4 linked regions of the Macaca mulatta genome follow. The protein of the gene in region 2 binds, or shares a complex with, the protein of the main gene of each other region. Links are inferred from orthologs where the notes say so. Each region holds a gene or a part of one and is shown on either strand. Other genes may lie near its edges.

Evidence for each region.
Region 1: the proteins of TLE6 (region 2) and YWHAG are in contact, whole or in part, in a cryo-EM structure (PDB 8XI3), measured with the Mus musculus proteins. The link is inferred for Macaca mulatta from reciprocal best matches to the Homo sapiens genes TLE6 and YWHAG. Residues at the interface, in NP_444484.1 of Mus musculus: Phe137, Leu138, Ser139, Glu140, Ser141, Asp142, Leu144, Gln145, Leu295, Arg347, Asn430, Leu447, Gln470, Met472, Asn489, Asp510, Asn511, Thr512, Met530, Pro553, Arg555; in NP_061359.2 of Mus musculus: Lys50, Arg57, Arg61, Lys125, Asp129, Arg132, Tyr133, Gly174, Leu177, Asn178, Val181, Glu185, Phe201, Asp202, Ile205, Ala206, Leu208, Asp209, Glu213, Tyr216, Lys217, Thr220, Leu221, Ile222, Met223, Gln224, Leu225, Arg227, Asp228, Asn229.
Region 3: the proteins of TLE6 (region 2) and OOEP are in contact, whole or in part, in a cryo-EM structure (PDB 8H94), measured with the Mus musculus proteins. The link is inferred for Macaca mulatta from reciprocal best matches to the Homo sapiens genes TLE6 and OOEP. Residues at the interface, in NP_444484.1 of Mus musculus: Trp256, Ser258, Phe304, Thr305, Arg306, His307, Val318, Asn320, Val322, Asn323, Glu332, Ser333, Asn354, Ser355, Arg356, Leu373, Ala374, Ala375, Pro376, Ser377, Leu378; in NP_080756.1 of Mus musculus: Arg32, Pro33, Trp34, Trp35, Pro37, Gln39, Glu40, Glu67, Trp70, Met71, Gln73, Gln94, Pro95.
Region 4: TLE6 (region 2) and KHDC3L share a complex: the UniProt entries of both Homo sapiens proteins name them as parts of the subcortical maternal complex. The link is inferred for Macaca mulatta from reciprocal best matches to the Homo sapiens genes TLE6 and KHDC3L.

The regions. Positions count from the first base shown.
Region 1 is NC_133408.1:49,993,648-49,999,714, reverse strand, and holds the start of YWHAG (14-3-3 protein gamma), read right to left. Parts: upstream 3,674-6,067; 5' UTR 3,435-3,673; coding exon 3,348-3,434; exon of another isoform or gene 450-3,347; intron 1-449. UniProt on the Homo sapiens protein: Adapter protein implicated in the regulation of a large spectrum of both general and specialized signaling pathways. Binds to a large number of partners, usually by recognition of a phosphoserine or phosphothreonine motif.
Region 2 is NC_133424.1:3,768,407-3,774,302, reverse strand, and holds the start of TLE6 (transducin-like enhancer protein 6), read right to left. Parts: upstream 3,968-5,896; 5' UTR 3,583-3,967; exon of another isoform or gene 3,431-3,582; intron 2,894-3,430; exon of another isoform or gene 2,872-2,893; 5' UTR 2,837-2,871; coding exon 2,786-2,836; intron 674-2,785; coding exon 591-673; intron 1-590. UniProt on the Homo sapiens protein: Component of the subcortical maternal complex (SCMC), a multiprotein complex that plays a key role in early embryonic development.
Region 3 is NC_133409.1:112,309,168-112,314,150, reverse strand, and holds OOEP (oocyte-expressed protein homolog), read right to left. Parts: upstream 2,769-4,983; 5' UTR 2,638-2,768; coding exon 2,448-2,637; intron 2,230-2,447; coding exon 2,050-2,229; intron 1,686-2,049; coding exon 1,606-1,685; 3' UTR 1,374-1,605; downstream 1-1,373. UniProt on the Homo sapiens protein: Component of the subcortical maternal complex (SCMC), a multiprotein complex that plays a key role in early embryonic development.
Region 4 is NC_133409.1:112,315,525-112,320,221, forward strand, and holds KHDC3L (KH domain-containing protein 3), read right to left. Parts: upstream 2,456-4,697; coding exon 2,287-2,455; intron 2,101-2,286; coding exon 1,921-2,100; intron 1,646-1,920; coding exon 1,374-1,645; downstream 1-1,373. UniProt on the Homo sapiens protein: Component of the subcortical maternal complex (SCMC), a multiprotein complex that plays a key role in early embryonic development.

The DNA.
Region 1 (6,067 bases), on a different chromosome or scaffold from region 2:
TTCAAAAGACACATAGGAGATTTCCAAAATAATCGGAAAAATACGTAATATCTGCTTCAGTTACTGTGAAGGCTAACACATGAATAGCAAGCTGTATGATCTGTATTCTTTCCCTCAAGAAGAGAACAATTCAAGCCACATGACTCAGAATAATGGTTGGCAGAACTCCACCTCTGAAGAGTCTACAGAGGTACCATTACTCCATTAGTGATAATGGCTATTGATCTCCTGGAAAAGCTGGGCGGGGGGGGTGGCTAGGGAATGGAATATTTAAGATAGTAAGAATTTGAAAGTCTACTGATCCCACTAGGAAGATTTAGAAAAATTATGATAGCCTTTTGCCACCTTTGCCCCCACCACCCCTCACTGAATTAAACTGCTTAACCCAGTAACTTCAACAAAATTAGTAGCCCTGAACCTTTTCTCCCCCCGAGGCAAGTACCAGTAGCCTACTTAAAATATTAACTTCTCAAGAGACTATTAAAAGTCAAAGGACAAGACAATATTGTCTAATACATAGGATACATCTAGGTATTCAATCTCCTTCAATACAAGACTAAACAAGTGTCTTAAAAGACCTAACATTCCTCTTTCCTTCTTTTCAAAATACTGGATAATACAGTATTTCTGTCCTGGTTGCCCACACAGAACTATCATTCTGCACAGATTCCAATAGTGTTAGCACTAGGATAATTTCATTAAACTCAAATAAATTTTAATCCATCAACAGGATGATTTCGGCCTTAAAAGAGAGCTCACTTGAGTGGTAAGACTGGGTTCTTTCTCTGCAGTTTCCAAATTCTCCATGATGACTTTTATAAACAGGAAGACAATTTCTTAGGTAGTTGCCATTTGGGAACACCTACTACATTTCTTATTGAATCCGCACAACTTTTTCAAGTACTGTCCCATTTTATAGATGAGGAAAATGAGGGACAGGGCCTATTTCCTTAAAGTCACAGGAAACAGAGTTGAAAAAAGGTTTTTATTTTACAAACTGTTCTTTCCTCTATACTGTGAAGGAGCAGAAGCACAAATCTAGTAAAAAACAAACTTCCCAAACCTCGATTTAAAAGGTTTTGGAACTGGTTCTCATTCCCTAACAGTAACTGAAAATGACTCAGTAGAAAGTCATCATTTTTTTAAGGTTTTTATTAAAACCTGCCAAATTCATTATCTGAAATAAACACAAGTACACATCTCATCTCTGCACTATTATCGTAAACTATATTCTTGTTTAAAATTTCTACTTTCATTCCATAAAATATATTATCGTTTAAAATTTCTACTTTTATTCCATTATTGCCCAGTATTTTAAATAAGTGAGATGAATGTTTAAAAATATAAAAAAAGCATCTTATAAACTTTTGTGAGAAAGCTAGCAATAGGGTGAACAAGGCCTAGCTAGAGGTCAGGGATCTGCATGTTTAAGGGTAAATGAAATCCTTATTTTTTGGACTAATTCTTATCTGGTGGAATATGAAGTGCTCGATTCCACCTGGCTTATCGGCTAATTTCTGCATTACCTTGGATAAATGCCATTTGCACACTCCCTACCAGCCCTTAGGTGCATTGCAGCCTCTGTGTCATTGTGTGTGACATCACTTGGTTGCTATAGATATAGGTGCGAGGTCACTCGCTTTCCTGTGGAACTAGAAATACGGAAAAATTAGAAGAGTCTAAATTAAATAACACGAACTGAAGATATTTCCAATACTGATACCCATTAGAAGTGCAACTTACATCATTTGAGCATTAAAACCTTGTAAGACAGCAGCTGTGGCCATAGCAGTATTCCGAATTTCAGAACCGGTTCTCTTCTTTAATAAGACAAAAACATTTCTTTGTTAAAATACCTGGTTTAAATGTAAAGGTATCAGCATTGTCCTCTTTTGAGAACCAGTAAAGTTATTCAAGAATTGATCTGTAATATCAATAATGCTTCATTTAAAAGATGTAACATGCAAGGTACACTCCAGCATCCACTTTACAATGGAGATGCATTTGAAAAACCTTTGTTACATAAGGCAGGAAATTAAATATTAAGATAGTGGGGGCCCGAAATCATTAATTTTCTACCTTTCATTTCATAATGTTCAATACTTCCCCCTCCTCTAATATCAAACTGGTTGACAGCCCATTAGATAAATGTAGTGTTACTGACAAAATGGTGCAATACAGGGAGGAATCTGCAACCCAGACAAAATGCGACAACTGGAGATCAGTATTCTCTTTTCATCAGCATGAAGACGTACTCGCTTTAAAAAAAAAAAAAAAAAAAAAAAAAAGCCTCAGATGCATCTAACGACCAAAAATTTTTAAAAAGACTTTTTCCCCTTTAAAATAACTCCTCCCAGCCTCCACCCAGTCTAGGCTCTCTGCAATATGACAAATGCAGAATCTTCTGGAATGACTTGATACTGCCTCTCACCACCGCTTTGTTTGCACTATCAGATCAGACAGAATATTTTTTCCCCCAACTTATAGGAATTTCACAGACGCGTGCCTGTATTCAAAAAAGAAACGGCATATGTCACACGGATCGAACCAGTCAGCTACATTCACCACCTTTTATTTTACAGGCAATACCTACCCTTTTCAATACAAAAACATTAGGGAATAAAATGGAGATGACATGTTGAAAACGATCAACGAAAACGCTAGCGAGACAAACGTTCCCCCTTCCTAAAAGCCGGAGGACTTGCTTTGGGGGAATGGAGAAAGAAGAGCCTTTTGTTAAGAAAAACGTGAGCAAGGTGGTTTCGATTTTGCGCCACGGAGCTCAGGTTTTCAAGAGACCCTATACAATGTTTCTGGGAAGATTCACAGGGATCTGTCGGGACAGACAGTGGGGAAGATTTTGGGGGGGCTGGGGAGGTGGAAAACCGGGAGACCTGCTGAGTGAATGGGAAAGGCGCCGCCCAGACACCAGGGAGAGAAAGAGGAACCGCATCCATGCGGTCCCCCGCCCCCACGCCCGGGCTGGGAGGAGGGGGGAAGTGGGGCACAAAGGATGCGCACGCCTCCCCGCTCGGATCCCCTGTACCCCTAGAGCCGCTGGGACCGGAGACCCCGCTCCCAAGTCCAGCCCCGCAGGACCCCGCCCCGCCCCGCGCCCGCGCCGGGCCAGAGAGGCCGCGCCGCGGGGCCCCGGGGACGCCGAGGAGAGGCCGCGTCACAGCCCGTGTTCCCGTCGGCTCTGGGGACCCTCCCCGGCCCCCCTCAGTGAGCGAGACGGGGCGGTCACCCCACCATCGCGACAGGGCGACGAAGCCCCGGGCCTTCCACGCCAAGGACCGCGTCTTCGGAGGGGCAGGGAGCGGCGGGGGAGGGGAGGAGACACTCACGTTCTTCATGGCCGCGGCCATGTCGTCGTAGCGCTCCGCCTGCTCGGCCAGCCGGGCTTTCTGCACCAGTTGCTCGCGGTCCACCATCTTCGCGGAGCTGGGTCTGGCCGGAGAAGGAGGAGGACACTGGGGTGGCGTGAAGGGCTTGGAGGGCGCGATTGGAGCCCAAGTGCCGGAGAGGACCGACCCACGGAGCGAGCGGCTGAGGCGGCGGCTGCGCGGAGGAGGCGGCTGGAGCTGCGACCGCGGGACCGGGAGCGAGGCGGCTGCGGCTGCTGTGCGTGCCACGGACGGACAACCCCCTGCGGCCCCGCCCACGCCGCATGACGCAGGCAGGCCCCGCCCGCTCGTCCGCAAGCCCCGCCCAGGCCCCGCCCGGGCCCGGCCGCGGCTAGAGCTCCCCGCTCCCCAACTCGGCTCACTGCGCGTCTTCCGGGCACCACGTCCTTTCCCACTGCGCCCCCACTCTCCTCTTTATTCACTTCACTCCTCAGTTCCCTCACCCCAGCTTCTCCAGACGCCCCCTTATCCCTCTCCCTTCAGCCCCCCGCCCCGCCAGGCCTCCGACGCATGGGCCCTTGGGAGTTGTAGTGTAACCTGCCGTGGGCCGAGGCGTTGAGAAGACCGAGGACAAAGGGGCGGTCAAGACTACAACTCCCAGCGGAGGTAGCGCGCAGGCGCAGGAGGACTGGGGGGGTGGTTCGAATCCCGAGGCCGCTGGGGACCCCTGGCGGGGATCAGGGCTGCATCAGTCCCTGCGAGTGCTGATTCACCGCCCCGCCCCATATTCTCCGGGAAATTACGAGAGGAGGGGGCAGGGGCCTCAGTCCTAGACCCTGTTTCCGAGATCACGTAGCAGGTCGTGGTGGGGGAAGGATAGGAGGCGCGTCCTTTGTAGATCCAGACTCTCAGTGTGGTGCCTGCCCGCGGGATGGCTGAATTAAGGGGCCAGACTCGGGGGACTGTCACCTCCTCCCCCTACGAGCTTCCACTAACCCCCCACCCCACCTTGAGGCTCTTGGGCCTGACTAGGTGAAAACAAGGACGAACGACAAATACCGGCTGGCCACACTGGTTGGTTTCCAGAAAGGATGCAGCTGCCTGCTGGCTGACCCTGGAGAACCCCTTCTTCCTCTCCAGGGTGGAGTGCTAAAGATTCAGTTCAGCTACCAGGAGCCTACTCCACGCCTTAACGGGCTGTGTCTGGGGCTTAGTTGTCCAGCCCTTCTCTCCCCTCCTAGGCATACGTACCTACTGAGGTCACGCTGATATATTCTCGTTCATATTATTCCACGTAGCTTAAAGATAGACTAGGTTTTTTTGCTTTGTTTTGTTTTTTGTAGAGACGAGGGTCTAGCTTTGTTGCCCATGCTAGTCTCGAACTCCTGGGCTCGAGCGATCCTCACGCCTCGGCCTCCCAAAGTGCTGGGATTACAGATGTGAGCCACCATGCCTGCAGGCCCCATAGTTTTGACTACACATTTTATTTACTTTATGTATTCAACAATTATCTGTGAGAAGCTACTGTGTTCCAAGCCCTATTCTAAGCCACAAGGTACAGTAGTGAACAAAACAGAAAAAAATCCCTTCCCAAGAAAATAGGCAAGATATGTACAGTATGCTAGAAGTCAATAAGACGTGAGCTTTGAGGTTGCAGTGAGCTGAGATCGTGCCACTGCACTCCAGCATGGGTGACAGAGCGAGACTCCATCTCAAAAAAAAAAAAAAAAAAAGGAAATGAGCTTTGGCTGGTCTTGGTGACTCACACCTGTAATCCCAACACTTTGGGAGGCCGAAGCGGGTGGATCATCTGAGGTCGGGAGTTCAAGACCAGCCTGGCTAATGTGGCGAAACCCCATCTCTACTAAAAATACAAAAATTAGCTGAGCGCCTGTAATCCCAGCTACTGGGGAGGCTGAGGCAGGAGAATCGCTTGAACCTGGGAGACGGGGGTTGCAGTGAGCTGAGATGGTGCCATTGCACTCCAGCCTGGGCAACAACAGCGAAAATCCATATTAAAAAAAAAAAAAGTGAGCTTTGCAGACGCTGCTGCCGCCAGGAGTACTCTACTGCTGGCCATGGTCAATCTCATCGTGTTCTTTGACATTATGGTCAAGCCCTCGGGCTGCGTCTCCTTCAAGGTTAGGGGCCTGGAAACCAAGAAGCCAAGAAGTGACCTCTGCAAACCATAAAGCCATGTTAACATATCAGAGCTGTTAGCAGACAAGGTTCTAAAGACAGCAGAAAACTTTCATTTTCTGAGCACTGGAGAGAAAGGATTTGATTATAAGGGTTGCTAGTACTCTCTTTCTTTTTTTTTTTTTTTTTTTTTTTTGAGATGAAGTCTCGCTCTGTAGCCCAGGCTGGAGTGTAGTGGAGCAATCTCGGCTCACTGCAACCTCTGCCTCCCGGGTTCAAGCGATTCTCCTGCCTCAGCCTCTTGAGTACCTGGGATTACAGGCATGCGCCACCACGCCCAGCTGATTTTTGTATTTTTAGTAGAGATGGTGTTTCACCATATTAGTCAGGCTGGTGTCGAACTCCTGACCTCATGATCCCTCCGCCTCAGCCTCCCAAAGTGCTGGGATTACAGGCGTGAGCCACCGCGCCCAGCAAGGGTTCCTACTTACACAGAATTATTCCAGGGATTATGTGTCAGGGTGGTGACTTCACACACCATAATGGCACTGGTGGCAAGTCCATCTATGGGGAGAAATTCG
Region 2 (5,896 bases):
GGGATTACAGGTACAAACCATTGCACCCAGCCCATGCAGTATATATATATATATACATATTTTTTTTTTTTGAGACGGAGTCTCACTCTGTAGCCTAGGCTAGAGTGCAGCGGTGTGAACACGGCTCACTGCAATCCTCCGCCTCCTGGGTTCAAGAGATTCTCCTGCCTCAGCTGGGATTACAGGCACCCACCACCACGCCTGGCTAATTTTTGTATTTTTTGTAGAGACGGGCTTTTACCATGTTGGCCAGGTTGATCTCGAGCTCCTGACCTCAAGGGATCCGCCCGCCTCTGCCTCCCAAAGTACTGGGATTGCAGGTGCGAGCCACCACACCCAGCCATTGCAGTATTTTTCAACAATAAAATTGAATGCCAACAAATCCATGTCGCACAGGAAAATCAACATATGAAACAAAAGCTGGGATGGGTATTGCTGGGTTCTCCATGCTGGGTATCGACATGGCTTCCTGTTCCTGAGCCTGTCTCTTGGGCCAGCAGTTTCTAGACCACTCACTAGGACCCCAAGGAGAGAGGCCAGGTGGGACCCCTTCCCAGCGTGGGACTGCCAGCCCCTGGAATTGCTCTCACCTGGGGAATTGCTTGAGCCGATTTAGAATGCCTTGATAATTCAGTGGTGGAGAGCTCTCAGAGTTCGAGATCCCAGGACGGGGCTGGAAAGGTCAAAGCAAGGTTACATAAAACTTACAATGCCCTGGCCGGGCACGGGTGGCTCACGCCTGTAATCCCAGCACTTTGGGAGGCTGAGACGGGCGGATCACGAGGTCAGGAGATTGAGACCATCCTGGCTAACACGGTGAAACCCTGTCTCTACTAAAAAAAAAAAAATACAAAAAACTAGCCGGGCGAGGTGGCGGGTGCCTGTAGTCCCAGCTTCTCGGGAGGCTGAGGCAGGAGAATGGCGTGAAACCGGGAGGCGGAGCTTGCAGTGAGCCCAGATTGCGCCACTGCACTCCAGCCTGGGTGACAGAGCGAGACTATCTCAAAACAAAAAAACAAAAAAAAAAACTTACAATGCCCCAAACACTCAAGACCCCAGGTCTCCATCTCAACCAGAGTATAGGTATTAGGTTGATGCAAAAGTAATTGTGGTTTTTGTTTTTGAAACAAGTCTTGCTGTCACCTAGGCTAGAGTGCAGGGGCACAATCTCAGCTCACTGCAACATCTGCCTCCCAGGTTCAAGTGATTGCCTGCCTCAGCCTTCCTAGTAGCTGGGATTACAGACGCCTCCCACCATGCCTGGCTAATTTTTATATTTTTAGTAGAGCTGGGGTTTCACCATCTTGGCCAGGCTGATCTCAACCTCCTGACCTCGTGATCCACCCGCCTCGGCCTCCCAAAGTGCTAGAATTACAGGCATGAACCACTGCGCCCGTCCTCTTATTTCAGTACCTAAAAGAGCATCTTCCATTTTGCACTTTGGCCTAAAGTCTAAAATATTCACCACATTCTTGTGATGAAAATAGAAGCACAAAATATTTTTAAAAATAAAAGGCCAGGCAAGGTGGTTCACGCCTGTAATCCCAGCACTTTGGGAGGCCGAGGTGAGCAGATCACCTGAGGTCAGGAGTTTGAGACAAGTCGAGGCAACTCAGCAAAACCCTGTCTCTACTAAAAATACAAAAATTAGCCGGGCATGGTGGCACACACCTGTAATCCCAGCTACTCGGGAGGTTGAGGCAGGAGAATCATTTGAACCTGGGAGGTGGAGGTTGCAGTGAGCCAAGATCGTGCCACTGCACTCCAGCCTGGGCGACAAGAGCAAGACTCAATAAAATAAAGTCTCTTGGCCAGGTGCAGTGGCTCACGCCTGTAATCCCAGCACTTTGGGAGGCTGAGGCGGGCAGATCACGAGGTCAGGAGCTCAAGACCAGACTGGCCAACATGGTGAAACCCCATCTCTACTAAAAATACAAAAAAAAAAATTGGTGGTCATGGTGGCAGGTGCCTGTAGTCCCAGCGACTCGGGAGGTGAGGCAGGAAAATCACTTGAACCCGGGAGGCGGAGGTTGCGGTGAGCCGAGATTGCGCCACTGCACTCCAGCCGAGGTGACAGTGTGAGACTCCGTCTCAAAAACAATAAAGTCATAAAGTCTCAAAACAAAATATTCCTCATCTGACCCCTTTACAAAAAAGAGAGTTTGCTCAGCCCTGAGAGCCTAAATTTACAAATGGTCATCTCTGGGACATAAAGTACAGGGAGCCCGGATTGCTTGTAAAATATTAACCAAATACGTGCTGTGTTCCTGTGTTTTTTATCACGTATGTGATTAGAAGCTACATTTTTTTTAAGGATGGGATCTCACTTTGTCACCAAGGCTGAAGTGCAATGCCTCAAACTCCTTGGGCTCAAGCAAAGCCTCTGCCTCAGGCTCCTGGGTAGCTACAACTACAGGCAGGCCCATGTCACTAGGCCCAGCTGATTCTTTTAATTTTTTTTTGTAGAGATGGGGGTCTCATTACGTTGTCCAGGCTGGTCTCAAACTCCTGGGCTCAAATGATCCTCCTACCTCGGCCTCCCAAAATGTTGAGATCACAGTTGTGAGCCACTGTGTCCAGCCTACACTTAATTTAAAAAAAAAAAAAAAAAACGGCTCCTTGGCACCTGTCTTGAATGTAGCAGTGACCGGTATTGTCTTCAGCTGTGAGGCCTGGATGAGGCCAGCCCAGGTCATAGGTGGATACAGGATGAGAAAGGGGCAGAACCTCATTGGGCTGACCTAGGTTTCCCTTGAGGGCTGATCCCACCCCATGCCCTCCTCACCGAAGTGCCTTTCGGGGGGCCCTTGGGGCTAGGCTGGTCCCTAGAGGTCATCTTCAGGCAGTAGCCTCCAGGACTTTAGCCAAAGTCTAAAACAAGGAGACAGCAGGTCTTGAAGGACAGAAAATAAGGCAGTGTCAGGGAGGGAGCCACCCCTTACCCCACCTGCACCTCCCGGTTTGGTAAGTCTCCAGGGCCCCAGTCCTGCGGTTCCCCCATGCGTTCCCTAGGTCCCGTCCTCACTTATCAATGCCTCCAGCTGCCCAGATTCGTGGGGCCGGGGACCCAGAAAGAACTGAACCCTGCCTCCCAGGCCTCACCCTAGGAGGTTGGGGTGGATGGTGCACATACACTCCCTGCTGGGGGAGCCCAGGGAAGGTCACCAAAGCTCAACCTTAGTTTTCAGACAATTTCCTAAAGTGCAGGGATATCACTAGAAAGGGGTTTTGAAGGATGAATAGGAGTTAGCCAGGTGCATTAGGCGGAATTCATCGGACAGAAGAAACGACCTCCCTCCACCTGCATCCCAGCTGCAGCACCAAGCTCCTTCCTTGCCTCAGTCCTGCCCTTCCACACCCCTGCAGCCCCTTCCCCGGCCCGGGAATCTTGGAGTCCCCCCAACCCCCAGGAAAACGCCTGGCAACTCACGTCCCTCACAGGGCGGAAGCTGCCGAGGTCAGCCAAGTTCAGGCCAAGAGGAAACTCCTCCTTCCCCCACCGGGGGCCATTTGACCCATCGGGCCCCGCCTTGTCCCGCCCTGTCCCTGCCCCGTCCCGCCCAGGCCCCACCCAGCCGCCACCTGGACCGCGAAGCGGATCAATGAAGGCGCAGTAGCTGCACGTGGGTTCGGGCTCGGGGTGGGCAGGCATCTGGCGGCGCTGGCCAATCGTGAGGCCGTTTGCGCACGTGGGTCGCGTACGCCCTCCCTGATTGGCCGGCTCTCCCCGGCTGCCGGCCAAGCTGTCACTCAGCGAGCCGGGAGCCTCCGCTTAACCCTTTCGGTCCCGCTGCCGGGAAGGGCGGAATTGCAGAGCTCTAGGCAATTTGGGGTCCCAGCGGGGGCGGGGATATTTAGGAGGGCGTGGGGCTTGAGGCTCGGAGGGTGGAACTTGGGGAAGGATAGGTGGCGAGTAGTTGCATTGTTTTACTCATTTTTAGCCTTGTCCGGAAGTGGCTTACGGCTGGAAGTGAGGAGTGGGAGGTGGGTGGGGTCAATCTTTAGCGCTCTCACCCCAATGCTTATATACGGGCTAATTATATTTTCCTCAATATTAAATAACGTGCAATGCAAACGAAGCTTCTAGTTCTCTTTCGGGAGCCAACTTACTGGGTTCCCTTGATGGTCCTAGCCCCGGGCTATGCATTTATCATATTGGAGCTCCCAGCCCAGTGACAAAGGCTCTGAGAGCAGAAAGCCCGACAGCAGAGGCCCTGAGGCTGGTACAGTACTGCCAGATCCAAGCCCGGGGTGGGAGAGAGTGGTGGGTATTCCAGATGGAGGGAATAGTGGAAGCTCTCAGGCAGAGCTGGGCTGGTTACAGGAGAAGACCGGGAGGCTAACGGGGCTGCGTGCACTCCGAACACGCCTGGGATGATTTCAGAGAGGTAAGTGGGTTGCTACAGAGCGAGAGAAACCTGCTATGTGGGGTGGTGGGGATAGGGGTAAGGGGATTCTGGAGTTCTGTTTCGGCCTATTCAAAATATGAAGGCAAAGCACCATGGCTCACACCTGTGATCCCAGCACTTTCGAAGGCTGAGGTGGGAGGATTGCTTGAGGCCAGGAGTTGGAGACCACTCTGGGCAATACAGTGACACCCCGTCTCTACAAAAAAATTTTAAAATTAGCCAAGTGTGGTGGTCATGCACCTGTAGTCTCAGCTACTGCGGAGGCTGAGGCAGGAGGATTGCGTAAGCCCACACTCCAGTCTGAGCAACAGAGCAAGACCCCATCTCAAAAAAAAACCCCAACATACATATTACATATACAATACATATATAAAATATATATTATATATAAAGTATATGTTATACATATATAAAGTATATATAATATATAAATATATGTTATACATATATAAAGCATATATAACATATAAAGTATAACATATAAAGTATATATAATATATATAAAGTATATATATTATATATATAAAATATATATATGTAGTGAGAGCCCAAGATTCTTTCTGTTTGGCCCAGAACCTGGTACTGGCATTAGCGGTTCGCTCTGCCAGGGACAGTCTCCCTCAGACAGCCACTGGCTGGCTCCTTACTCCCTCAGATCCCTACTTAGAAATCACCACATTGGGCCGGGCGCAGTGGTGCATGCCTGTAATCCCATCACTTTGGGAGGCAGAGGTGGGTGGATCACCTGAGGTCCAGAGTTCGAGACCAGCTTGGCCAACATGGTGAAACCCTATATCTACTAAAATACAAAAATTAGCCGGGTATGGTGGTAGGCACCTGTAGTCCCAGCTACTCAGGAGGCTGAGGCAGAAGAATCACTTGAATCTGGGAGACAGACGTTGCAGTGAGTTGAGATCGTGCCACTGCACTCCAGCCAGGGTGACAGAGCAAGAGTCTATCTCAGGAAAAAAAAAAAAAAATCACATCAGGCCAGGCGTGGTGGCTCACGCCTGTAATCCCAGCACTTTTAGAGGCTGAGGCGGGAGGATCACTTGAGGTCAGGAGTTCCAGACCAGCCTGGCCAACATGCTGAAACCCTGTCTCTACTAAAAATACAAAAATGAGCTGGGCATGGTGACGCACACCTGTAATCCCAGCTACTTGAACCTGGGAGGCGAAGGTTGCAGTGAGCCGAGATGGCGCCATTGCACTCCAGCCTGGGCGACACAGTACTCTGCCCCAAAAGAAAAAAAAGAGTTCGTGACCAACCTGGCCAACATGGCAAAACCCTGTCTCTATTAAAAATACAAAAATCAGCTGGGTGTGGTGGCAGACGCCTGTAATCCCAGCTACTTGGGATGCTGACGCAGGAGAATCGCTTGAACCGGGAGGTAGAGGTTACAGTGAGCCAGGATCGTGCCATTGCACTCCAGCCTGGGCCACAAGAGTGAAACTCTGTTTCAAAAAAAAAGAAGGAAGGGAGGAAG
Region 3 (4,983 bases), on a different chromosome or scaffold from region 2:
TTGGGAGGCTGAGCCAGAAGAATTGCTTAAATCAGGGAGGCAGAGGTTGTAGTGAGCTGAGATCACACCACTGCACTCCAGCCTGGATGACAGAGCAAGACTCCATCTCTAAATAAATAAATAAACAAACATACATTAAAAATCACACCAGGAAAAACTTGAAAGAATTAATCAAATTTCTATGGGAGAAAATTAGGAGCTCTTAAACTTAAGAGGGTGGGGATATGGGAGAACACATAGGAAACAGTAATTGATTTAACTACATAAAATAAAAATCTTTCACATGCAAAGAAAAAATGTAAGAGGGTGGAAAATGCTGGTAATAACAGACCATTGTTACAAAAGCTTATAGAGATAAATAAAAATCCTTATCTTCACCAGTTGAAAGAAGTCAAGAAAGGAATTAATACAGAAAAATGTAAAACTGAAACAAAGAAAACATTCAACATCACCTCTAATAAAAAATGTACAATTAAAGAGACTTGAGTTTAAAACGCTTGCAAAAGGCTAGAACACTTTATTGCCAAGGAATGCATAAATTCCATGAGTCTCAAACCAATCCTAATTGTGCTTGAAGCCACAGGGCTTTTGACACCTTTCACCCCAAAAATTCTACTTCCAGAAAGTGGGGCAGCAAGGATAGAAGCTGTTTTGCAGAGATTGGTAATCTCAGTACAACACGTAATGGAAAAACAATCTTGCCCATGCTGGACACCTGTGCAGCCTCGCCTTGCAGAAAAAGGGAGACAGCCGGCTCCAAGGCAGGGCGCCATCCACAAGCCAAGGTGCCAGGGATCCCTTTTCTTCCCTGGTGAATCGCAAAGCTACCATTAATGAATGCTGACCGCCCAGGCCTGCTTGTTGGAATGTCATCCTGTGCCAGACGGACACCCGACTCCAGGAAAACGCACAGCTGGTGCTCTTTGGAGGGTCAATTACCAGCTGCAAAGTGAGAGCCTCAGATAAGCTGCTTTGGTAGTACCTGTGAGCTCATCAGAAATGCAAATTACAAGCCCCACCCCAACAGTACTGAATCAGAATTCTCTGGAGAATGAGCCTAGGAAATTGTGTTTTAACAAGCTCCCAAGGTGATTTTTTACAAGCTTTAAAGTTTGAGAGCCAATTATGTAAAAACAAAACAGATCACCATTTGTGAGGTTATCTGCCCCTGCATATCTGCCCCCTGTGGGTGAGGGCCTCATTCTGACCATAAAATCATAGAAGGATTAGGAGTTTCAAAATGATGGGAATTCAGGAAGAAAAAAACAAAACAAAAAAACAAAACAAAAACAAAAAAACAAAAACAAAAACCTACAAAACTACAACCTGCCAGCCTTCTGCCCACCCTTCATATCAAAACATAAGAGTCAATCTTTTATAAATTTGCTTTATTATAAGTGTGTGAAGATCTTAATGCCATTGGCAAAATAGCCATTTCTTTATTAGAATAGTTCAAGCTCACTCTTGCAACAAAATAAACCACATTCCATCAAGACACAGGAAAAAGGAATGCAGGGATTTAGGAATGCTATACTTGCTTCTCTTCAACTTTAGCAGAAAAAGTTGGAAAGTTCTTAAGATGTTCCCGACAGTAACTATGTTGTCTTAAGCAACAGGATCCTGGGGAGAGTGGGGGTCTGATGCATGGGCCTTCAAGTTCTTCTCAAGGTGTTTCATCTTCTCAGCTGGAAGAGAAGCAGTTGATGCTAACCATGGACAGGGAAAACGGTTCGCTGTTTCGAACTACTCCGTGATTGGGAGTTGGGGAGGAGAGAAAGACCTGCGGTGGAGGCTCCGAATCTGGGATCTGCGATAGCGTCGTAACCCAGCTGAGGCTGACTTGGGCAGTGATGGGCCTGAATGTATCAGATCTCCGCTGACTTTCCCAAGGTCCTACCCCGGGATCCCCTCCCAACAAACTTCGTGCAGCCCCTGGAGTCTGGAAACCAAGAAATTCTGAGAAGGTTAAGGGAGGATGGAAGGAAACCGAGCAAGGCCAGTACAGTCACTCGTGGCTTCCTCCACATGCAGGTTCTCAAAGACCCTCACCTCGGGCACGATGTTCTCGGTGAAACGATGCCAGGCACAGGAGCATGCTCTTCACCCGATTCTGTACACTGGGCCGTCCAAAAACGGTGATTTCGACTAGGTTCCCAGAGTCCACTATGTCCACTGTCATCAGGGCCTGGCTCGTCCATTCCATTTCTGGAATCATGGCTCGGTCCGGGCCTAAACAAGTAAGGAAAGACTCTGAGGGGCCGCACGGTGGCAAGTTACAAGCTGAATTTTAAGGGAACGTTGGCCAGGGAAGGGAAGAGCTGGAAGGTGGGCAATCACTGCAACACTTTTGGCTTGCGAATCTGGGAAAGAAGCCGTAGAGAGCTGCCCTGCCGAGTTTCTCTCAGACTGGAGGTGGACAGCCCACTAGCACACCTGGGGTCGCTCACCAAAGAGCTCGTCTGCCAGCCATGCCTCCAGGTAGAACACCAAAGGGTCTCCCAGTTCCTGCACCGGAAACCACCAAGGCCGGATGCGAATCTGCGGCGGCGGAAGTGGTAACATACGCAGCTGCTCCAGGGAGTCGGCCGGGGTCTGTTTGCCCCGCTGGGACTCAGCAGCACCAGCGTCATCGACCATACTGGGACCAGCAGCCGCGGAGCGCGCTCGAGGTGGCTTTCGCAGGACCTCCTCCAGACCCAGGCGCGAAGCTCGGACTCTCTTTTACCATATTCCACCCGCTCCGCCCCTTCCGGCGGCGCCTAGCACCGCGTCGGGGTGAGCTGGTGCAATCGACGCCCTGGCCTAGCGGCACATCGGGCACTTCCTGTGCTGCCTCAGTCGCCGGGATTGCCTCTTTGACTTTGAACTAGTATTCATCTGGCCTCCTGTTGGGTCTCCAACGCTCTCCTTCGTCATCTTTGCCTCGTAAGATATACTTAGCCTGAAAGACTTCTGCCCACCTTATAGCTGATTAACACTGTGAGTTTGAATTGACGACTCTGCTGACTGGGAATCGCCTTTGCTGGATAGGTTAAGGTTTCATCGTTACCTCCCAGAGATAGGTAGATTGGACCCAGGGCAGGCTTGTTGAATGTGTCGGTTTTCTCTCTTCTGCCCCATGCTGTTATCTTCTGACTCTCCGGATGGTTACCATTTTTAAATCATTCAAGCAAGTGTATCATGTTTTAAACAAAACGTCGGAGGTGGTCTTATAGAACATGTAGCAAGTTAGACAATTTTCCTTTATTTCCAGTATCCTAAGACAACCAGTATCAATGAATTTTTTCCCAGTGTTCGTAATTTTAATTAAAAATTTGAATAATGAAAGGTTTCGCCGGGCATGGTGGCTCACGCCTGTAATCCCAGCACTTTGGGAGGCCGAGGCGGGCGGATCACGAGGTCAGGAGATCGAGACCATCCTGGCGAACACGGTGAAACCCTGTCTCTACTAAAAATACAAAAAAATTAGCCGGGCGTGGTGGTGGGCGTCTGTAGTCCCAGCTTCTAGGGAGGCTGAGGCAGGAGAATGGCATAAACCCGGGAGGCGGCGGAGCTAGCAGTGAGCGGAGATCGCGCCACTGCACTCCAGCCTGGGCAACAGAGCAAGACTCCGTCTCAAAAAAAAAAAAAAAAAAAAAAAAAAGGTTTCACACATCCAAAAAAGTAATATAGCACAGCCCTGTACCTTCCCCCAGTTTAACAGATATTGACATTTCCCCACATTTGCCTCACTTCTCTGTTTTTAAAATAGATATTACTCAAGCATCTTTCCTTTCCCTCTCCAGAGGAAATTATCTTGAAGCTAGTGTGTATATATCATCCCCATGCATGCCTTTACACATTTTCTACTATATTTCTAGAAATATTGTTTTGTAGTTGTTTCAGAATAGATAGTATCTGCTGAAAATACTATTTTGTTCTTACGATTAACTATGTGTTTGTTTTAAAACTATTTTCTATTTTTCTGAGATAGGTCTCAGTCTGTTGCCTGGGCTGGAATGCAGTGGCACGATCTCGGTTCACTGAAGCCTCGACCTCCCAGGCCTAAGTGACCCTCCTGTCTCAGCCTCCTGAGTAGCTGAGACCACAGGTGCCTGCCACCACACCCAGCTATTTTCCAGCTCTTCTGTTGTTGTTGTCTGTCTGTTTGTAGAGACAGGGTCCCACTATGTTGCCAGGCTGGTTTTGAACTCCTAGGCTCAAGCAGTCCTCTCTCACTTTGGCCTCCCAAAGTGCTGGGATTACAGGTGTGAGCCACCACAGCCAGCCTAGAAGAAAAAACTCAAAATAGTGGAAAGCATGTTCCAGATTCCACATGATCATCTAGGACTGTGTGGAGGCTCCAGTTTTCTGCCCCTGAGCCCACCCCCTCTCACCCTCAATGGTTGCTGAGAAAACCTGACTATCAGATGTGTAGGGCATACTTACAGGAAAACTAGATTTAGCTATGGCTGTGATGCAATGAACATTTAAAACCTTAACCTGGCCAGGCAAGGTGACTCACGCCTATAATCCCAGCACTTTGGGAGGCCAAGGCAGGAGGATCACTTGAGGTCAGGAGTTTGAGACCAGCCTGACCAACATGGAGAAAACCCATCTCTACTAAAAATACAAAAATTAGATGGGTGTGGGCCAGACACAGTGGCTCACGCCTGTAATCCCAGCACTTTGGGAGACTGAGGCGGGTGGATCACCTGAGGTCAGGAGTTCGAGACCAGCCTGACCAACATGGAGAAACCTAGTCTCTACTAAAAATACAAAAAATTAACCGGGCATAGTGGCGCATGCCTATAATCCTAGCTACTCGGGAGGCTGGGGCAGGAGAATCGCTTGAACCCAGGAGGCGGAGGTTGTGGTGAGCCGAGATCACACCATTGCACTCCAGCCTGGGCAACAACAGCAAAACTCCATCTCAGAAAAAAAAAAAAAGCCGGGTGTGTGGTGGTTACCTGCAATCCCAGCTACTCGAGAGGCTGAGGCAGG
Region 4 (4,697 bases), on a different chromosome or scaffold from region 2:
GGGCGGATAACCTGAGGTCAGACCAGTCTGGCCAACATGGTGAAGCCCCTTCTGTACCCAAAACGCAAAAATTAGCTGGGCGTGGTGGCGCGGGCCTGTAGTCCCAGCAACTGGGGAGGCTGAGGCAGGAGAATTGTTTGAAACCGGGAGGCAGAGGTTGTGTTGAGGTGAGATGGGGCCACTGCACTCCAGCCTGGGGGACAGAGCGAGACTCCATCTCCAAAATAAAATGAAAATTATCAGTGATTCTTGGTTAAAAAAAAAAATCCTAATTAAATCCTAATTACAGAATTACTGCATGCTATTGTTTAATCCTAGCACCCAGCTGTTGGCTTGCATTCTTCTAGATTAATTCGCAGGCTCAGGGACCTGCATCCCAGTGCCCTGACCAGAGCTGTGACCCGGGAAGCCAAAGTGTTCTCTGCTCAGGCTCCTCGCTGCCGCAGTAACTGAGGAAAGAGTAGCCGGTGCCTGTATCTTGCTGGTGTCCAAGACCTTCCTGGAAGGTGGGTGACCCAAGCAAGACCTGAAGACGGCAACAGTGCAGCCGGAGAGTGCAGCTCGGCTCTCTTCGTTTCCCCCTTCCCCGAGGTAATTTTCCCCAGCGGGGAAAGTGTTCTGTGGCAGCGTCGCCATACACGCAGGGCCTTCCAAATCCAGCTGGCCCGCAAGCGACCCGGTTTTCTCATCCCAAGTCACCTTGAGTAGAACCACAGCGGGCTTGGAGAGGTTTCCTAGTGGGCCAGAGAAGCTTCTCACCTGTTAAAGCCAGATGCGCGCAGTTAAGGAGTACAAGGGGCACAGCGGACCACAGCCAGGGAAGATTGCGACCCCGGGCGGCTGGGAGCCAGAAGCCCCACCTGTCTCGAGGTAAAGAGCGGCGCAGGGCAGAACTGGGCTGTTGGAGGAATACGCCTTTCCCTCCCCTCTACCTTCCAAAATACAGACGTCAGGGAAATGCAATTGTTTATCAGAACTCAAGTTTGTGTTGACAACCACTCAACAGAAGGTGTAAAACAAAAACAATCCACGTCAACCTCCCCCGCCACCCCGGCTTCCTGGACTAAAGTAGCGGGGGGCTTCCACTTTGCAATTATTTATTAGAACTCAAGTTTGTGTTTGCAGCCATTCAACAGAAGGGGTAAAAAAAACCAATCCACATCATCCACCCTTACCCCAGCTTCAGGGGCTGAAGTAGGGGGCGGCTTCTAGTTTGCAATTTTTTATTAGAACTCGTTTGTGTTTGCAACCATTCAACAGAAGGGGTAAAACAAAAAATCCACATCATCCTCCTCCCAACCGCAGCTTCTGGGCGAAGTACGGGCTTTCACTTTAACCCCTGACTGGCTCTGGCTCCAGGGCCCGAGATGCCTTCATAATCTGGTAACTGGGGCCCGGGTATCCTCGCGAAACCGCTGGGTCACTGCCTTGCTGGCAGCTTCGGGGGATCGCTGGGTCCCGGACTGGTTGGCAGCCTCGAGAGACTGCTGGGTCCCGGTCTCCCGCACCTCCACCGGAGAACCCTGTGTCCCGACCTCCCGGACCTCCACCGAACGCTGGGTCCCGGCCTCCCGGACTTCTGTTGAAGACAGCTGGATCTCGGCCTTCTTAGTGGCGACATCCTGGGCGAGGGCCTTTCCTGAGCCTGAAAGAAGAGCAGTGTGCGGAGGCCACAGCTGTGTCCCTATATCCTCTCCAAAAAAGGACAGTCACCCAAGCGGCCTGCGGGAGTAGGAACCAGGAATCCCAGAACGCGGGTTCACTTTGGCCTTCTGGATCCATGGCAACCGCCCCGTCTCCCACCCACTAACCGGGGGCAGACTGGGAGGGCGAGACTGCAGCCCCAGCAGCCAGGAAACCCCAGGATCACTCCTACGGAGCCAGGGTTTGCTCCAGGTAGCCCCATTCCCAGCCCCGTACCTTTCGCCTGGAGCTGTCGGTGATAGTCAGCCAAGTTCATGATCATCTTGATTGTGTCCTCCTGGTAAGAAGGCCTCCCAAATACCAAGATCTCAGCCTCGCCGTTAGGGTCCAACCGATTCACATGAATCAAGATTTGGGACATACCCTGGACGTGCGGGATGCGTTCTCGGTCCCTGCCTGCGCGGGTAGTAGAGAGGCTGTGAGGGTTGGGTGGCTCCCGGGGGTCTTGGGAGGGGAAAGTGGAAGGAGGAGACAGCCAGAGGGCATTGGCTACTGGGGAGGCTTGCCCTGGAACGCAGTGGGATGTGGGTGTGGGCGGCAGAAAGAAGCCGCATAGGGGCTGCCCCTCCTTGCTCCACTCACCGAAGATCTTTTCCACCAGCCAAACCTCAAGGCGAACTACCTTCGGATTCTTCAGGAACTCAGAGTGGAACCAGGAGAACCGCTTAGGAAGGTGACCAAGCACCTCGACTGGCATTGCTTTTGGCTGCATCAGTTGCACGAGCGTCGGAAACCGCCTGGGAGTGTCCATGCTGCGCCCGGTCCTGCAGGAGACAAGACCACCACAGCAAACCCAAAGGCCAAGCTGGAGCTAGGCGACTAGAACTGCGGTTTCGCCTGGGCCTTATTTAAAGTGCTTTTGGCCAGCCCCTCCTCTCCAACCGCGCCCTTCTCATTGGGTCCCAGGCCTCGCCTCCGCCTCCAGGAGCCCCGGCTTTTTCCGAGGCAGCGCAAGTGCACCGGTTCCTGCGTTGCTCTCAGTGTCTCTTCTGTCAGGAGCAGCCCTTTCCCCAGCGCACCCGGGAGGAGGAACCGGGCTCTGGGCACCAGGAATCCGCTGGTGCCCAGCGGGAGTCTTAACCATGGACTCAGGAAGGCGTGGACAAGCCCAGTATCTCTCCCAGAGGAAGGAACTGATACTTGCAGAATGAATACTTCATACGTCCCTCACTCGCTTCTGATCCCTGGCCACTACGTTTTCTCCCTCTGGCACCAGGTTTTCAGATTATTCTGTCACTTGCCTGAGACAGCTGAGTACAGAGCAGAATAAGCGCCCGCCTTTTTGTTTTGTTTTGTTTTGCTATAGGGTCTGTGTAGTGAGATTTGCGTAGTAAAAAAAAAGGGGGGGATAGAAAAAAAGTTATGGGGTCTGGCTATGTTGCCCAGGTTGGCTTCGAACTCCAGGGCTGAAAAAAATCCTCCCTCTTTAGCCTCCCCAGTGGTGGGACTATAAAGCGCTTTTAATTAATGCAGCAATGAACACACCTAACCACAGATGGTTCTCGTGGTTTGGACACCAGAGGAGATTCCTTGAAAATTTTTGACATCTCTGTTCTTTTTTATTTTTAATTTTTTAAATTGGAGACAGGATCTCTGTCACCCAGGCTAGAGGGCAGTAGTGTGATTATAGCTCACTGCAGCCTCCAACTCCTGGGCTCAAGAGATCCTCCCTCTTCAGCTGCCCCAGTAGCAGGGACTACAAGCCTCTGACACCATGCCCAGTGATGCCTCTGTTCTCTAAATAACACAATTATATTTGTCTCATCCTTCCTTTCCTTTCTCCTTTCCCTTTTCCTTTCCTTTCTTTTCCCCTTCCCTTTCTGACAAGGGTTCATTATGTTGCCCAAGCTGGTCTCAAGCAATCCTTCTGGCCTGGGCAAAATGATAAAACCCTATCGCTACAAAAAAAATACAAAAATTAGCTGGGCGAAGTTGCACACCCCTGTAGTCCCAGCTACTGGGAAGGCTGAGGTGGGACAATCACCTGATCCCAGAGAGGCTGAGGCTACAGTAAGCAGTGATGGTGCCTCTGCACTCCCCGCGGGGTGACAGAGTGAGACCCTGTCTCAAAAAATAATAATAACTGAGCCAGGTGCGGCGGCTCACGCCTGTAATCCTAGCACCTTGGGAGGCTGAGGCGGGTGGATCATGAGGTCAGGAGATCGAGACCATCCTGGCTAACACGGTGAAACTCCACCTCTACTAAAACAAAACAAAAAAAAAAGTGTGAAAATAATAACTTTTAACTGTGTTGCTATAAGATAAATAATAATTTATAATTTATTTTTATTCAGTATTGAAACACTAAAGAGAACTTCAGGTTTGCCACATTAATAGACCAAATGTATATATTCAGGCCGCGCCCAGGCGGTCGAATATATTTAATATATAGGAATGATTTAGTAGTTGGGAAATTCTTACTTGCTAATTGAGACAATTAAAGTACTTTGCAAAACAACAAGAAAAAACAACCCCATTAAAAACTGGGCAAAGCCGGATGCGGTGGCTCACGCCAGCTGTTCTAGAGCAGCCTGGCCAACATGGCGAAATCCTGTCTCTACTAAAAATACAAAAATTAGCCAGGCGTGCTGACTGGCGCCAGTAATCCCAGCTACTCCTAAAGCTGAGGCATGAGAATCGCTTGAACGTGGGAGGCAGAGGTTGCAATGAGCCTGTATTCCAGTCTGCGGGATAGAGTGAGACTCTGTCTCCACAAAACAAAGAAACAAACAAACAAAACTGGACAAGGAACATGAAGAGATGTTTCTCCAAAGAAGAAATACAGGCAGCCAACAAACACATGAAAAATGCTCAGTATCACTAATCAGAAGAGGAATGCAAATTAAAATCACACCGATATACCATCATACACCAGTCACAATGGCTTTTATTAAAAAGTCAAAAAACAAGCCGGGTGTAGTGGCTTACGCATGTAATCCCAGCAATTTGGGAGGCCAAGGCGGGCACATCACCTGAGGCCAGGAGTTCAAGAC